Linked DNA regions of Schizosaccharomyces pombe. Changing the gene in region 1 together with any one later gene gives a genetic interaction. Each region holds a gene or a part of one and is shown in the gene's direction. Other genes may lie near its edges.

Region 1 (5,956 bases):
GCTGCTAACTCGGAAGAGGGTGTTACTTATGAGCGTTTTACAGAAATCGTGATGGAAGAATTAGAGGATCGTGATAGTGCTCGTCAAGTTTTATATGCGTTTTGTGATGTTGCAGACGGAAAATCTTATGTCACGTCCGATGATCTATTGAGGAGTCAGGTTCGTCCTAATATAGTAAAGTTTTTAGAATGCAACATGAACAAACATTCAGAAGGACTGGATTATCTTACATGGATTAAACAATTACTGGCCGAAGACAAAGAAATAGTTTAAAACGGAGCATTTTGAATCACTTGATAAACTTAATGAACATTATTTGGATGAAAATTTAGTATACTTGAATAACAATATATATACGTTACAAGGGTCAAAGAAAAGTATATTTTTAAATACAGTAACTATCTGAAGAAAAACAAATCTCAATGCTAACTAACATAAAAATGAAAGAAAAAGGAAACTTGACATCAATACAAAAAGAAGGGAAAATAAAACAACATGCTAATTTTTAACAAATAATGGGCAATAAATAACGGACGATACAACTTAAAGTGGACTGTATCCGGATGTAAGATTTCCAATAAAATATAGAATACAAGCAGCTAAGCCAGCAGCTGCTGAAAGGAATGAATAAGCATAAATTTTCTTTCCTAAAACGATTGGAATGTTAAGAATTTCGATATTTTTTTCCAATTCAGAAATTGCAATACGATAAGTTGCAACTGCGATAACTGCAGCGATAAAAGTAAAAATAGTTGCAAAGAATGAGAAGACGTTGAGAAAGAGGGGACCAAAAAATGGAAGGCAAGAAATAACGATTGAAACTATTGTCAGAGCAAAGAAAATAAATCCAAGAATATACATGGCTCGCATAGCATAACATGCCCCTTTAAGCACTTTTAATCCTAAATCCACCTCGGAAGGTAAAGTGATGTTAATTTGGCTACCAGTTGCATTATTAATACTGGTTTCCAGCATTGTAAGGGGGTTGAAGTAATAACTAGGAGAAGGAGTACTACAATAAGTAGGATTTGTATAATCAGACGAATTTCCCTGACAATAATTCCAAAGACCAATGGAGTACCAGTCCGGGAGTTCAGACACGTCCTTCATCTCCTGCTCAACTTGTTCGATTAAATCAGTAGCACCTTGATCAATATATGTTTCGAGCGTGTCTACCAGTGTTCCAGTAAGCTCGTTAAGTAGGTTGCTTGTATTATTGACAACAGCAGTTTGATTGGCGACAGAAAAGATAGATGTAGTATTCAGTTGAATAAAGTAAATATTTTGAAAAGCAATGTTATGCTGAGTTTGATTGATGATGCATAGAATTGACAAAAGCGCGCCAACTCCAACGCAAACGGTACCAATACCAGTGAACAAAGCTTTAATAGGATTGAACCCCATTCCCATTTTGACAAACAGTTATATCAAAAACCAATTTGCTTGGGATGACAAAAAGAAAGAATAATATATATGATTATATATAATAGATATCACGATTAATAAGGAAAACTGATATGTAGTCTCCAGAAATAAACAATTCTTCAAGAAGCTGGGAAGAAGAAGGACAAAAAATCGGCTGAAAAATAGAGGGAAACACTTCAAAAACGCTGTTGTAAAACGAATTTCTTTGAAATTAATACGATTTAACGCGAGGATATTGAGTAAACAAGATAGTATGGATAGTAAACAAAAGAGAGAGAACTGGTTTTTTTTTTCAATCGTAAAGGCAAGTAGCTGATTGTTTCTTAACCTTTTATACGCATCAGAGGCGCAATCTCTTAAAGTCTTAATCTTCTGTAAATTTGGAATGCCACAATTGACACGGAGGGCCCGCTACGAGTAAAATATGTTTTGAGAAAGCGAAGTTGTCATGACAACCAAGTGTAAACAGACGGGTCATATCAATGTAAATAAACCAAACGCGGGACGTTTTCGATGTTTGCAACAAGCTCGACTATTATACGTGTGAAAAGGATGCAGTGACAGCAATTTTACAGTTCTTTCGCAGCAAAAGAAACAGTTCTGATATACGAACTCAGCGGCGCATGCTGTGTCGTACATTACTGACATATAGGCGCAGCTTGAGTTTCAAGCCCCATTATATATGAAAAGAAAGCGTTCATTAGATAGCCAAGTAAAAAAATCAACATAAGCGCTTTGCTTTTCTTAGTATTCGTTCCATGATACCGAACACAATAATTTGGGCTTTATATAGTTTTTGTATAAAAAAGAAATCATATGATTATCATATTAACATTTAATCGTTTAATGACTCTCAAAGATCCGTGATTATATAATAGAGAAGAGGAATTTACGTCGTCAATGAATCAGATATAATATTTAAACTAACATCATATAGATTTCCCATATTATCTTCTACCATGCTTTCATGACGAGGATACTTAATTAACCAATAATTTATACTTAATATGGTTGTGTTGCTCTAGTTACAATTGAAATTTTGGAAAGTGGTTTGGTCCATCGCAAGATTGGGTAGTTTGTGAATTCATTTAATTTGCCAAATAAATGAGCGAAATTCTCAGATAATGACAAAATAGTTATTTTTTTTTCTGGAGAAATGCGAAAGAGCTGTTGGAGTTTCTTTTGTAATATCGAATGGCAGAACAGAACTACTTTCTTCATATTCGTCAATAAGTTAAGTTCAATACTGGATCCAATTTCAACTTTTACAAAATGAATTATAATTGTTTACTGAAATTTCCCTTTTAAGTTTAGACCCTTACCAAGACTGTAAAGCACCTTAAGGAAGCGATCATTACTGCCTCTTTTGTTTGTTTACATTAGGTGCTTTCCTGATTTCTCCAATACACATACATTGTTGCTAGACTCATAGCGGTCAGACGAAGATAATTATTGATTCTTTAAATGGAACGTAAAGAATTGTCTTATACCATTCAAAGCTGGTCCAGCTATTCTGGAGCATTTCATCCTATCAATATACTTATCGATAATCCACACCAGGCTAACAGCCGATGGAGCTGTAATACTTCAATATGTAAACCCAACAACTCTGAAGAACAGTATGTAATTCTGAAACTTGATAAACTTGCGTTGGTTACCGATATCACCTTTGGGAAATTCCACACTCCCCATCTTTGCAACCTTAAAGAGTAAGCGGTTTATTTTTTTTTTCTTCCTCTAACAGTTTTAAGTTTTATAGTATATGGGGGGCGTGAACAGCATTTGATGTTCCCTTTATTAAGAGCTGGATTGACAAATGATTCAAATCGAGAAACATTTCCATTGTGTATCAAGAAATATAACAAAATTGAGAATTCAATTGCTTGTAAGTATATCAAAATTGTTCCACTTCAAGCTCATGCTCATGAATTTAACATGAGTATATGGTATGTTGCTTTACACGGCATTGACTCAGCCAGCGCTTTATCATGCACAGAGAAGAACAGAGCTTTACATCTAGAAAAAAAGGCACTCAATTGCCTTCTCTCTTACTTTGCTTTTAAAGGGAAACTTGATATATGTTCTGTGATACTTCAAAGCTACCAGCTTTCCATACCACATTCACCCTTAATGAGAATGTATGATGCATTTTGCAGACTAGGAGACACTCAAAAAACCATTCTTCTGTTTCAACAAGAACTTCAAGCTGAAATTATTGAGAAATGGCCAAAGCATAAATTAACCAAATTACGGTCGCATAGAATAGCTACATTTTTGAAAGGAATAAGTAGAAGAAGCGGTCATCAAATGGTTTACAATCCAAAGGTACCTTAGATTTTTTCGATATTTTATTGTATTAACAGTTATCCTCATACAGGACAATTGTATTTATTTATACGGCGGCTGGGATGGTGTCAAAACATTTTCTGATTTTTGGATTTACAATGTTGATAAAGATTTATGGATTATGGAGAATGAATATGGGTATGTCATTTTTTAGAAAGAATCTATCCATTAACGTATTAGAATTCCTGGTGAGAGGGTTTGTCACAGAATGGTCATTGATACTAGCCAACAAAAGCTGTATCTACTTGGGAATTACTTTGGCTCATCTAGGGAAACCGAGGTGCCCCCAGATGCAAGGACAGATTTTTGGGAATTTGATATTAGCAAAAAAGTTTGGACATGTTTATCCTATGACACTTCAAAAGATGGTGGGCCTGCCGCTATTTTTGACCATGGAATGTCAGTAGACGAAAAGCGAGGTATTGTATATGTGAGTGGTGGATGTAAATGGGATCCAGATGAACTGGTATTCGAGGGACTTTATGCATATGATACGAAAAATCGAATTTGGGAACAGTTGGCTGTCAGGTATGAGGATCGTCAAAAACACTGTGAGTTTAAGATTGAAAGGATGGGTCATTGCATGGAATATTTTCCTGATGAGAACAAACTTTATATTTTCGGTGGTCAAAGCTATGATCAAGAATTCATCTTAGACATGTGTTATATTAAGTTAGAAACAAGAGAAGCTGTGCAGCATGTTAGGAAAAACGATACATCCCAAAGTCCAAGTCCTTCATTTTGTCAAAGGAGTATTATGGATTCGAAAAACCATCGCATTTTCACTATGTTTGGTTTTGAACAGCGAAACATTCACAAAGTCCTTCGACCAAGTTTATGGATATTTTACATAACGACAGAGGAATGGGTTAAAATAAGTGATATTAATGAAGAAGAAGGAAATGAACATCCTTGTTCCAGGTATGTCTTTGGGAAAAAGGTAAATCATCTGACGCTTAATTTTAAAAGGTTTGGACACGCAGTCGCGGCTGATTTGAATAGAAACATTATATATTTAATGGGTGGAAATGCAAGTACGCATCCTTTGAGACCAATGAAGCTTTCAGATTTCTGGAAACTAGATATTCTAGATCGTTGGGGGATAAAGCATTGTCTATCTAATGTGTCTCTCCAGTTACACTTGCATCGGTATGTACTAAGTATCGACATCAATCAACTAATCATAATTTAGCTTTCATGAACTAGTCTCTGAAAATCTTGCTAAGGCAGTTGAGTACCTTCAAAAATCTATGCAGCCGCAATTTGACAAAAGTCCTTTATTTTGGAATGCGCTGATTTTGGATGCTTTTAGTGGAACGCATAAAAACAAAGATATTGCACAAAGAAGATTTGAAACTTTTCAGACAATATATGATTTATTACCGGTTGATGAAAATACTGTTGCACCGAATGAATCCCTCTTAAATATGATTGAATTTTTCACTTGAACCGGATTGAAGGGAATAAATCTTCCAGTCAACCAATTTACTACGCTAAATGTTGGTTTACGAAAATATCAGGCTCTCTGTCATTACCTGTAATTAGGTTGTGTTTCTTGATAATCAAATGTTAGCTGAATTTCTAGGATAATAAACTCTCATATAAATTTAGATAAAATGAAAGAATATATACCATGTGAATAGTCAAAAGTATACGAGTAAATAGCAATACCAATTCTTCTATAGTAATAGTGTATTAGACGCCAATATTATTATGATTATAATGCGAATTTCGCCTTTCCCTGATGCTACACGATACTAAATATTCACAAGAACAATAAATAATTTATTCATCTTTAACCAATTTAATCGCAATTTATTTATGTTGCATACAAAGGAATGAATATTCATCATGTTTGTTAATACCACACTTTCTTTTCGATTTTACCTATACCAATACTAAAATAGGCACGCGAATTCGAAAAAAAAAATATTCAAACTAAGTTATTTTACGTAGTTTTATTTAAATAGAAGGTATATGCGTATTTTATTTTTTTAAAAAAAAAAAAAAAAAAAAAAAAAGTTTATAATAGTAAATTTTTTTTTATGACACGTGCGAATACGATCTCCATAATACACTGAATACTACAAAAAAAAAGAACAGCTTCTTATCATTAAACAAATATATATATACAACTGCAAGTTTAATTGCTAAAAACGATTCGTACTTCCAAAAATAAATATTC
Region 2 (4,502 bases), 100 kb from region 1:
ATATTACTCGATAAAAATTTTCCTTTAGATTTTTTCGGACACCGTGGAAGAAAAATTTCTGATATTTTTTTTTAAAGCCTCTTAAATTGACATGACTTAAAGCATTGAACTATTAGCGTTGACCTGAGCACTGATATGAAGTTGACGACGAAAAAAGCATGAAACTAAACGTTACTGTTCCATCACTAGTATGAATGCGTAGAAGGCTCACAGCATTAAGGCTTTTTTTTGAATTTTTGATTACATTTCTATGAACTATGCTAATTTTCTAACTTGGGGAATGATAGGAAACGTTTTCCTTTTAATATGAATGATGAGTGAATAAGACGACTTTTTGCACAGGTGGTGCAATAAAGAATGCCCCTAGTTTTGTGGCTTCAAAATATCGTTTGATGGGATAAATTAATTAATTAAGTAGAATGAATGGAAATAGAATGTTTAGCGGAAGTTTCTTTAATCGCCATAAAATTTACACAAATCATTCATTTGTTCCATACCAAATGTCACTATAAGTTGACCGATACAAACCATGACTAGATGAATTGGCGGAAAAGCAGGTTTCAAATAGAAGAAAGAAAAAATGTGAAATTAAATTTTCCTCTTTTGTATAACCCTCTTTATTAATGACCTGATATTTCGTTTGAAGTGGAATATGAGTTTCTTCTCCTTCTTAAATTTTCGTCATGTATTGTACGAAACATATCGTTTGGACATTTTAAATCAGTTAACCATACTGAATGAAAGAATAACCGAAGTTGTATTTAATCATTACAACATATCCATTCTTTTATTACCTTTTATTTTTATTTTGAGCTCTATTAATCCTTGCTATATTATGTACATAATCGTTAGTATGTTACAGAAAGGATGGGTGTCCGAGTGGTTATGGAGCTGGCTTTAGGTGCGTTCAACGCATTGCACGCCAGTGCGAAAGCTCGCGGGTTCGAGTCCCGTCCCATTCAATATTTATTTTTTATATTATTATTTTAAATCGGTATATGAGTTTATTTCTTCAAGCTTGATGGAGGAAAAAAAACCCTGTTAATGGCTGCTGTTTATCTTTAAAAAGTTCTTTAAACAAAGTAAGCTTAGAGTGTTATTGATACTGGCAAACGCAGTCTTCATGAAAGAAATAGAATGCTCCTTCTTTTAACGGAAACGCAAATTGATACATACTCCTTTGCAATATTTACCCTGGTTTTTACTCTTTTTTTTATGTTTTAAATTCTACAAAAAATCTGGCTTTTCCTCGTATTGCAATTCATACATATTTATGGTATTACGAATACATCGTTGCGGGATCCCAATTCTTTTAAGAGACAATGCTAATGCCAGATTCAATGGTTTTATTTATTTTCATGAATGGAAAAAATGATTTTTTCCTTTTCAAATTTTTTTGCATTACTATAAAACCAATTTTTCTTGCTTAATCATTTTCTTGAGCAACAATGACAATATTTTGTTTTTGCACTCTTCTCTGGTGAATAAAGACAATATACGTTTTTCGGAAGGAATACTTCTGGTTAAAAGCGTTTTTCTCTGTGATAAGGTTATAAATATTACTTACAATATTGCATAATATTATCTATTATCGTTCGTCAAACCAATTCCCCACACATTGTCAATTTACAATTCTTCTTTTCTTTTACTAAATACTTATGCCCAACCGGAAGTTAAAGGCATAACATAAGTGTAGTGTTTCACTAAAGCTTTTTAATCATTTGACGATCTCAAAATCTTGCATTTGCGTGCTCGTTTTGCAGACGTCGCAATTTTCATTTAGAAATTTTTGATTAAAAAAAATAGGCGACTACGAATTCTTTTTTAAAACTCCCATGACTTTTGATGGAAGCAATGATTGTCATATTACGAAGGTTTGGCTGGCTACTATTTGCTGCTTGTGACTTGGTACTTGATCTTCTTATCTTGGCGATTCTGCACTTACCCTATATACTGGGAACCAATATTTATTATGAAACCTGCCCATACATTTTCATTAATTTTCTCTCTTTTATTTGTTATCAATCCTTGCTATTCAGCAACTTTGCCCTTGGCAATTCGTCGGGAATTGACATGGGGTCAAGTCAATATTTTACACACTACTGACATCCATGGCTGGTTAGCAGGACATGCGCGAGATAAACGTTATTCAGGAGATTTAGGAGATTTCGCTTCTTTTGTTCAACATATGAAGCACTTGGCAAAACAAAAAGACGTTGATTTACTGCTAGTAGATACCGGCGATCTTCATGATGGTACGGGCCTGTCAGATCTGACAGATCCCCCTGGTAGTTGGACAGATTCATTACTTGCAAATATGGATTATGATATTCTTGTTGCTGGAAATCATGAGCTTTATCTCTCAACTGTTGCAAATGATACTTATCATAATTTCATTCCTCTGTGGGAAGGCCGATATTTAGCTGCAAACATTGACATATATGATGAACATGTTTCTTCTTTTGTACCCTTTGGAGATCGATATGCCATCTTTTCTACACCCCACAATGTTAAAATCCTTGCGTTTGGATTTGTAAACTCATTTTCTGGTGCTACTGATACGGTTCGTGTCCTCCCAGTTTCGCAATTCTCGCTACAGCCATGGTGGAACGATATGGTATCAAATAAAGACATCGATCTGATTCTGATTCCCGCTCATGTACCCGTTCACAATGCCTCAGAGCTTGATATCGTTCTTTCAGAGCTTCGGATTCACTTCCCTACCACTCCAATACAAGTACTTGGTGGTCATTCCCATATTAGAGATTATGCCATTTACGATGAAAAAGCAGTGGGAATTGAGTCAGGAAGATATTGCGAAACAGTTGGTTGGGTCTCAATTAACGGCATTCCATCCTTCAAATCGTTGGTCAAGTTATCTGGGATTTCTTCTTTAATGGGGGTGGAATCTTATCTAGCTGAGCGCTTGAGATTTATAGGCGAAAGTATTAGACGGTCATCTCAGCAGATATTTTCCTCTTTGCAAAGTGCTAAATCTGCCAGTGTCAGCTTCTCTCGTTCCTATATTGATTGGAATCCCGAGGGCTTTATGTTTCATTCGAAAACAAAAAAGTCTTCTTTCAATACCTCACTTGGAGAATTTATTTCTAATGGCATTTACGAAGCTCGGAAGGCACTTGGCTTACTTACTCCTATAGGTTGTTCCCCAAAAAAGTTTGCATTTTCAGAAGTTCCATTTAACGATTCAAACTCAATTTATCATCTATTTCAATCCGAACTTTTTCCAAAAATAGTCGTCAATGAGTCTCGACATCACATTCCTCACTATATTATTGTAAATTCGGGTGGCATTCGAGGTGGTCTAAATTCAGGTGCCTTTGGCTTAGACGAGGTCTTTCAAGTCTGTCCTTTTAAAAGTAATATATTCTATGTTTTGAAAGATGTCCCATGGTCGATTACTAAGTACCTGCCACAAGCTCTACAACACAGTGGATATCTGATTGCTGAAGATACTCTTCAAATTAACACTCCACAAGTTTCTGATGCAAAATTTGAGGACTTTTATGAACACTCCATTCGCAAGACATATGGATACACTACACACGATGATTTAGGAGATGACGGAGATGACACTGCTCATCTTACAACTCCTCATTATGAACCGCTGCGGTTTATTTGCTCGCAAGTTGGATTTGATGATTCTTTTTCTGGAGACGATAAGCAAGTTGTTGACGTTGTTGCTCCATCATTTGTTATTCCACGCTTAGACGACATTTTAAATAAAATTGCAGATAAGCCTTTATATTCACCTGACGATTGGGAGCTTTACTTTACGAGACCTGACGGAAAGCATTCTATGACTGATTTGTTACCATTATATGCAGATCTCTATTGGGACCACGATTGCCTATATAAGTAAAAGGCTATGGTTTATTTCCTTTAGTAAGGATTATTCTAATGACATTAATGATTTTAAAGATAACAAATAAGTCAAGAATTATTATTTATTCAACATGTGTAAAAATGACGAAGTAAATACCTGATAGAGAAGTAAAATAGGCATGATATTAAACTCGGGACATAAACCGTTAAAATAATAAAAAAAATCCTCTCATGAAAAATTAAAGTCCATAGACAACTCATAAATAAACCATTAGAATTTTGATGATTCTTGTGACAGAAAATATGATTTAATTCTTTCTTCAAAACCAAAAGGAACACAGTAAATTGGATGAGCCGGTAATAAAGAGCTTAAAGAGGAGTGTAAGATGGAAGGTTTATAGGACCAACCATCAGAAGTGTGATATCTGTAGTCATAAGCAATTGATGATAACCCTAATAGACAATAACAAGTATGATATTGATCAGGCCGTTTTGGTGGTTTGTCACGTAAACCGCCGCTTGTACTCTGGCAACATTGAAGAATATATCCTAATAATTTTTCTGGATTATAAAAAAGGTTAGGCAGGCTTTTATGAGAAGCCGAACCATAGCCTGAAGCCACAATCACATGGCTAGCACCGACCCACCAACTATAACAA
Region 3 (6,727 bases), 3.6 Mb from region 1:
CAATTTGCTTTGAGAGTTTTCTGCTTGTAAGGACGACTCACATTCAGCATTTACAATGAGTGACATCGACAAAGAAAGCTTAAAACAAAATCAGAAGCAATGGGAAAATGAAGTTGAGTTGGGCGAAAGCAGAGAAGCTAATCAAGATGATGAGCTTCTGATGAGCCTTGGTTACAAACCAGAATTCACTAGAGAATTCTCTTACGTTAGCATTTTTGGTCAATCGTTTGGATCAATGGGTCTTTGTCCGGCTATGGCGGGTTCACTCATTTTCTCGATGAACTGTGGAGGAGGAGGCATGGTTTGGTCATGGATTATTGGATGTATATGTCTGATTCCAGTAAGTATATCATTGGGCGAACTGGCGTCTTCTATGCCTACTTCTGGAGGTCTTTATTTTTGGATTTTTACCCTAGCATCACCATCGTCAAGAGCATTTCTCTGCTGGGTTTGTGGTTACGTGTCAGTGCTTGGCTACGCTACGATTTATGCTTCAACAGTGTACTCTGCATCATCTATGGTACAGGCACTAGCTGTGATAGGTAGTCCTTCTTATTCACCTACAAAATATGAACAGTACGGAATTTACGCAGCGTTGCTTTTCGTGATTTCTGCCATGACTGCAATTCCCTCTCGTGTTATCGCGAAGGTGAACATCATTAATATTACCTTCCAATTCCTTGTATCCATTATTCTTATTATTGCCCTTGCCGCAGGATCTGACTCTACTACTAGAAATTCTGGAAGTTTTATATTCGGTGATTTTACAAATTATTCTGGATGGTCAAACATGGGATGGGCATTTATACTTTCATTCACTACTCCTGTGTGGGTTGTAAGCGGATTCGAATCTAGCGCCGCTGTTGCTGAAGAATCAACGAATGCTGCCAAAGCAGCTCCCTTTGCTATGATTTCCAGTCTTGGTGTGGCTACCATTCTTGGATGGTGCATCGTTATCACCGTTGTAGCTACTATGGGTCACGATTTTAATGCCATTCTAGGTTCCTCTTTAGGCCAGCCTGTAGCTCAAGTACTGGTTAACAATGTTGGAAATAAGGGAGCTTTAGGAATTTTCTCTTTGCTGGTCATTGCCCTTTGTTTGAACTGCATTTCGTTACTGATTGCTGCATCTAGAGAAGTATTTGCTTTCTGCAGAGACGGCGGGATTCCAGGAAGTAGATACTTACGTCTTTTGACTAAACAGAAAGTTCCCTTAAATGCAATTCTTTTAGTGCTACTCTATAGCCTTTTAGTCGGTCTACTAATTTTGGTTAATGTCACTGCCATTTCTTCTGTGTTTAATTTAGCAATTATTGCTCTTTATATCGCTTATTCCGGCCCTCTTATGTGTCGATTTGTGTACAATAAATTTCAACCTGGTGTTTTCTACGTTGGAAAATGGAGCAAACCAGCAGCCTTATGGTCATTAGTTTGGATGTGGTTTATGATTCTTATGCTTTTGTTTCCTCAATATCAAAAGCCCAACCAAGATGAGATGAATTGGGCTATAGTGGTCCTTGGATTTGTAATGGTCTTTTGCGTGGTGTATTATTATTTGCCAAAGATTGGTGGTAAAACTTTTTTTACAGGTCCAATACCTACTGTTCAACAGGAGAACGAGTACATATCTGGTGTTCCACTAAATGAACTATCTTTAAGCAGTTTACCTTTGCCAAAAGATTTTGACCAGAAGCAAATCACAGAGTAATTTAACCTGAGTGTTATACTTTTCTTAACTCTTCTTTTTGGCAACAGCTACGCTGTTTCATTGTATTTTTACTGTGCTTTTATAATTGTATGTTTATTAACAGTTCTTTTTTATTCTTTTGTTCCTAGTCTTAGTTAAATAGCTTAATATTGTTTTAATGTCTTTTAATGAATTAGTGGCTCTGTTATCATTATCAGTAATATAAGATTATATAAAATTTTTTTTATCTTTCGAGTACGTATACTTATCGTCTTGTCCAGATTTTCTTATCATCACTTCCCTTATAACCTATACTTAAGCACGACTTGAGTAGTGCTAAAATAAATCTGCAGATGTATATGCTTTTTAACAGTAAACTGCACCAAAGGCGGTAATGCTTGCTTACAATTGATACGCATTCAGCTAGAATTTAAGATAGTTGTTTAATTACTCTTTTCTTAACATAAGATGTCTCAAAATAAAGCATGTGATCTTTGCAGGTTGAAGAAGATTAAATGTAGTCGAGGGCAACCAAGATGTCAGACTTGTACTCTTTTTCAAGCGGACTGTCATTATTCTAATCGTGCTCGCCGTAAGAGACTTGTTCAAAGAAGCAAGGAGACGTTTGGGGGAATTACGTTACCCGTGTTTGATTATGCCGCTGGTATTAACGGCAATGAGCCAGAACCGAGTGATCACTCAATTCCAAATCAAGAAAATTTTGCATTAACTACTAATGGAACTATTAGTAAAAACATTGAAAAACCCGAGGATGGTGAAGAATCCGTTCAGAGACGCCTTAAATTGCTTGAAGAAAAAATCGATTTGTTGTTAGATATAGCTACTGAAACTTCAGAATTTAAACGTGAAAATAAGGCTATTGAATTACCTTCCTTGGTTACACAAATTAAAGATGCAGAATCGATTGTTATTAAACACAGACAAGGTAGCCCTGTCGACAATACACCTACTCGGATACTGAATGTGGAAAGCTTGTTCCCTCCACAGTTGCCGGACTGGGAGAAGGCATTCCATGACATTCCCAAGAAGGAAGTAGCCCATGAGTTAGTCACGTCTTACTTTCAGCATGTAAATTGGTGGTGGCCTACCTTCGTATATAATGATTTTATGTATGAGTTCGAACGTCTTTATGCGTTCGGGTTCCATAGCAATAATGCTTGGCTAATTTCTTTTTATTCTATTTTAGCATTAAGCAGCATTAGGAAAAGACTTGGTAACTCAAAGACGCTTGCAGAGTCTTTGTTTTCAACAGCTTGGGTTTTTGTTCAAAAGTCCGACTTTTTTCTTACTCCGAGCATTGACAAAGTTCAGGCTTTAATTGTCATGACACAGTACGCAGCTTACCTGTCTAGCTCTTCTTTATGTCGGACTTTGTGCGGCCAAGCCTGCCTCATGGCCCAACAATTAAACTTACATAGAAAGCAATCCACTGATGTGGAGCCTGAAAAGGCTGAATCGTGGAAAAGGATATTTTGGATGTGTTATATTCTCGATAAAAATATTTCTTTGATTTTTGGAACCCCTTCCGTTTTTAACGACAAGGATATTGATTGTAATTTGCCTGATAGCAAATATGAGCTTTTGTTTGGTGTACAATCTGGTGGTGATTTGATATTTGTTCCTACCGTATCGTTGACAATAATTCAGAGTGAAATACGAAATCGACTATACAGCGTGAAGTCACCTACGCAAATGGCAGCGAGAGAAAAAATCATCATACCAATACATCAAAAATTGAAAGCGTGGGAAGAAAACCTTCCTTCTGAAATAAAAATGTATCATGAAATGTTGCTAAACAACACTTTTTCTCCCACTATATCGCTTAGCGATCGGTTCGAATTTTTAACTTTCGCAGGTATGGAAGTTTACTTTTCTTACTTAAACACTTTAATTATATTACACAGACCTAGCTCGTCGACAGAGAATCGAAGGATTTGTATTAATGCAGCCCGTGAAGCAGTTCAATTGTTAAAAAATAGACTCAACATTGATCTCAGGGTCAATGTTAAAGCAGATCCGCTATGGATATTCCTATACTGTCCTTTTACACCTTTTTTAATAATATTTAATAACCTTGTTCACGAAACTGATACGGAAACGGACTCAGAAACATTACTTAACGATTTGGATCTTTTACATGTAATTTACGATTTTTTTATGGAAATGGAGCCAGTTAGTGACGTGGCTTTGGAACTTGTCAAAATTGCAGACAAACTTTTGCGGGTTGCTAAAGAAGTTTGCAGTGCCAAAAATAATGATGTTACGGATTCTACTTTTAAAGATATCGTTGAAGGTTTTGAACTTAACGACTTAAACAGTTGGGATTTTGACAGAGTAACCAATGTTATGAGGAATCTTTAAAAAAATATGAAAGTAACGTTGTTTTATTAATAATTTATTTGCTTTAATGTACATGGTGAACATCATTACCGGTTAACAATGAAGCTATTATCAAACTATTTTGCTTGATCAACTACATGCATCGACCCAAATGTCTAATTGAGTAGTGCAGTCAATTCAGAGGAGTCACCAAATCTTGAGATTGCCTTTCTTGATTGGGAAATCCAGTCAGTTGCCATTACAATTTTCAGTTCTAAAATTCCGACTATGGATAACGCTATTACCTGTCCAATCCAAAGACCGACAAGACCTTTGCCATGGAAGGCTAAATAAATTCCTAGAGGCAGAGCAAACAAATAGTAGGCAGTAATGTTAACTATAGCGCCAACCTTCTGTCTTCCCGTGCCTCTTAAAGCTCCTCCCATTGTACCATTCAAGGAATCTGATATTTGGAAAGCAGCTACTAAGGGCATTACAAGAGCAACCAGCTGAATGACATCTGGATCATTTGTGAAAATCCGTCCATAGATATTGCGTACGGCAATCATGGTAATCATGATAACGCTTCCTACTGCAACACCTACAATTGCTGCGACCTTAGCAGTTAGAGAAGCATTGTCAGGTAACCCAGCTCCGAGATAGTAGGCAACTCGATTAGAAGTAATTATTCCGAGACCGAAAGGAATTGTGTTAAGTAATTGATCTGTGGTCATAATTACTGATTGAGCGGCAAGTGGTACAGCACCAAGTTTACCAGCAACTAGTGCTACTATTTCAAAAGCCCACCATTCTGTTCCCACCATAACGATACCCAATAGTGATAACTTTACAAAAGGTCCAAAGTTCTCTAAGCATCGTTTATTCCAACCATTCCACGCCTCTGCCCCTTTTACGTATTTCGCATATTGAGTTAATAAAATGAATGAAAGCCAGTACGATAATCCAGTTGCCAATGGAGCGCCTTTTAAACCTAATCCATAATAATGGACAAGTAGAAAATTTAAGGCGACATTAAGAGGAGAGGTAACTAGAAGAATATAAGAACCAGCCCTAGTGATTTCTTGTGTTTGCAAAAACTTTTTTAGCAATTCAAAACATACATAACCTAGTCCGCCTGGGATAAGGTATCGTAAAAACTTTTGTGAAGCTTCAGCTAATTCAGGTGTTTGATGCAAGAAAATTAGGATGGGTTTAGAATACCACCAAACTAAACATATTGGCAGATATAGAATACTGAGCACGATGAAACCCGTTTGCAATAGAATTCCCAATTCTTGTTTTTTTCCGGCTCCCCAAAGGTTGGAGCCAAGTGTGTCAAAAGCAGTAGTTCCACCTAGAGCAATCAGCCAGCCTGTGCTCATCGCAAACATGTACGCAAAAGCAGCTACGGAAAGCTCGCTTGGTCCAAGGCGCCCGGTTACAATAACTGAACTAGTTTGCAAAGAGTTTTGCAAGGCATATCCAAGGATTACCGGAGCTGAATTTATCAAAAGGTATTTCACCTCTGTAAGTGGTCTACCCATAATAGTGCTTTCTCAGAGAAAATTTGGATATACGGTGTATTTTTTAATATAAATAAAGAGTACTTCTTAATGTCTGTTCACCGAAGGTTCAAATTTTCCTTTAATAAAAGTTTACTAAGCTTTTATCATATTGATTGAACGGATGGAACCATAAATTTATATCAGAGAACGCTTAGAAGCCGCACATTTAGGGCATAAAACTTCAGATGTCATGGCTAAACATTAGTATATCCGTGGAGATACGGAAATTTAGAAATACCCACGCAAAATATTTTTCGCTTAGCCAACAGACATTGGGAATTCTCGCCGAGTTTTTGCTAACTTAAATGATAGCAGTTAGCATATTTTGCCGGTGAAAATATTATTACCGTCTCACTCCGCTGGTTAAAAATAGTAGGTAACAAATCGGTTGCAGACTAAGAAGCTATTGACTCGCACGTTATTCTTAATTTGTTGAAATTAGTACAAAAATTTGAGCATGAAAGCGAATAAAGAGTACAAAAAATATTTTGTAATTTTACCTTGCATACTCATTGACTGTTAATAATTATAACACTTACCGATGGTGGTAAAATATATAGCAGAAAATAGCTTGGTGAATTTATTAGTCAATAATGATTTGAACAAACATTACAGAAAAAACGATTTGTAATTTCCCAAATAACTGTGTATAAGTATGAATCCAGTTGTTTGGCGTACGCATATATCATTCTCGGTTAATTTTGCTTTTCAAAAGTTTATATTTAGATTGCTGTGACTTTTAGAATGCAACACGAAATAACTTTAAATCTTTACGTTTTTATTAAAACTTTCTAAATTAGTTTATAAACATCCATTCGTTCTTTAAATAGAATAAGCACCAAAATTCATCTTTGCTTGCAATCACTCTCTTACTATATAGATATATGCATGATATGACAATTATAATCAACATTAAATAAACACAACAACAACAAATAATCACACTTGTTCTTACAATTTGTAAGCGTTTTTGCTCCACGCACGAATGCTCTTGCCAAAACGATAAAATATAAAAGGAATGGGAACCATCGCTACAGAAATAAAACCAAGCACACTAGTAGCCCAGTGATCTCCTAAATTAAGGTACATAGGCCTGGCCACCATACTTATGCCTCCACTGGCAGAATAGCGAACT

What was found. A genetic interaction does not mean that the proteins touch.
Region 2: mutations in mde6 (region 1) and SPOM_SPAC17G6.03 together harm fitness more than expected from each alone (negative genetic interaction), as found in Schizosaccharomyces pombe (one large-scale study listed by BioGRID).
Region 3: mutations in mde6 (region 1) and toe4 together harm fitness more than expected from each alone (negative genetic interaction), as found in Schizosaccharomyces pombe (one large-scale study listed by BioGRID).

The regions. Positions count from the first base shown.
Region 1 is NC_003424.3:3,694,619-3,700,574, forward strand, and holds mde6 (muskelin), read left to right. Parts: upstream 1-1,946; 5' UTR 1,947-2,889; coding exon 2,890-3,134; exon of another isoform or gene 3,135-3,176; coding exon 3,177-3,750; exon of another isoform or gene 3,751-3,802; coding exon 3,803-3,909; exon of another isoform or gene 3,910-3,951; coding exon 3,952-4,692; exon of another isoform or gene 4,693-4,740; coding exon 4,741-4,920; exon of another isoform or gene 4,921-4,963; coding exon 4,964-5,219; 3' UTR 5,220-5,409; downstream 5,410-5,956. Other genes in the region: ain1 (alpha-actinin), read left to right, coding at 1-273; pun1 (SUR7 family protein), read right to left, coding at 544-1,410.
Region 2 is NC_003424.3:3,591,083-3,595,584, forward strand, and holds SPOM_SPAC17G6.03 (phosphoprotein phosphatase), read left to right. Parts: upstream 1-1,955; 5' UTR 1,956-1,972; coding exon 1,973-3,880; 3' UTR 3,881-3,985; downstream 3,986-4,502. Other genes in the region: protein farnesyltransferase beta subunit Cpp1, read right to left, coding at 4,115-4,502.
Region 3 is NC_003424.3:115,537-122,263, reverse strand, and holds toe4 (transcription factor), read left to right. Parts: upstream 1-2,030; 5' UTR 2,031-2,155; coding exon 2,156-4,069; 3' UTR 4,070-4,203; coding exon of another isoform or gene 4,204-5,571; 3' UTR 5,572-6,210; downstream 6,211-6,727. Other genes in the region: SPOM_SPAC11D3.08C (amino-acid permease), read left to right, coding at 56-1,708; SPOM_SPAC11D3.06 (MatE family transporter), read right to left, coding at 4,204-5,571; mfs2 (MFS family membrane transporter), read right to left, coding at 6,544-6,727.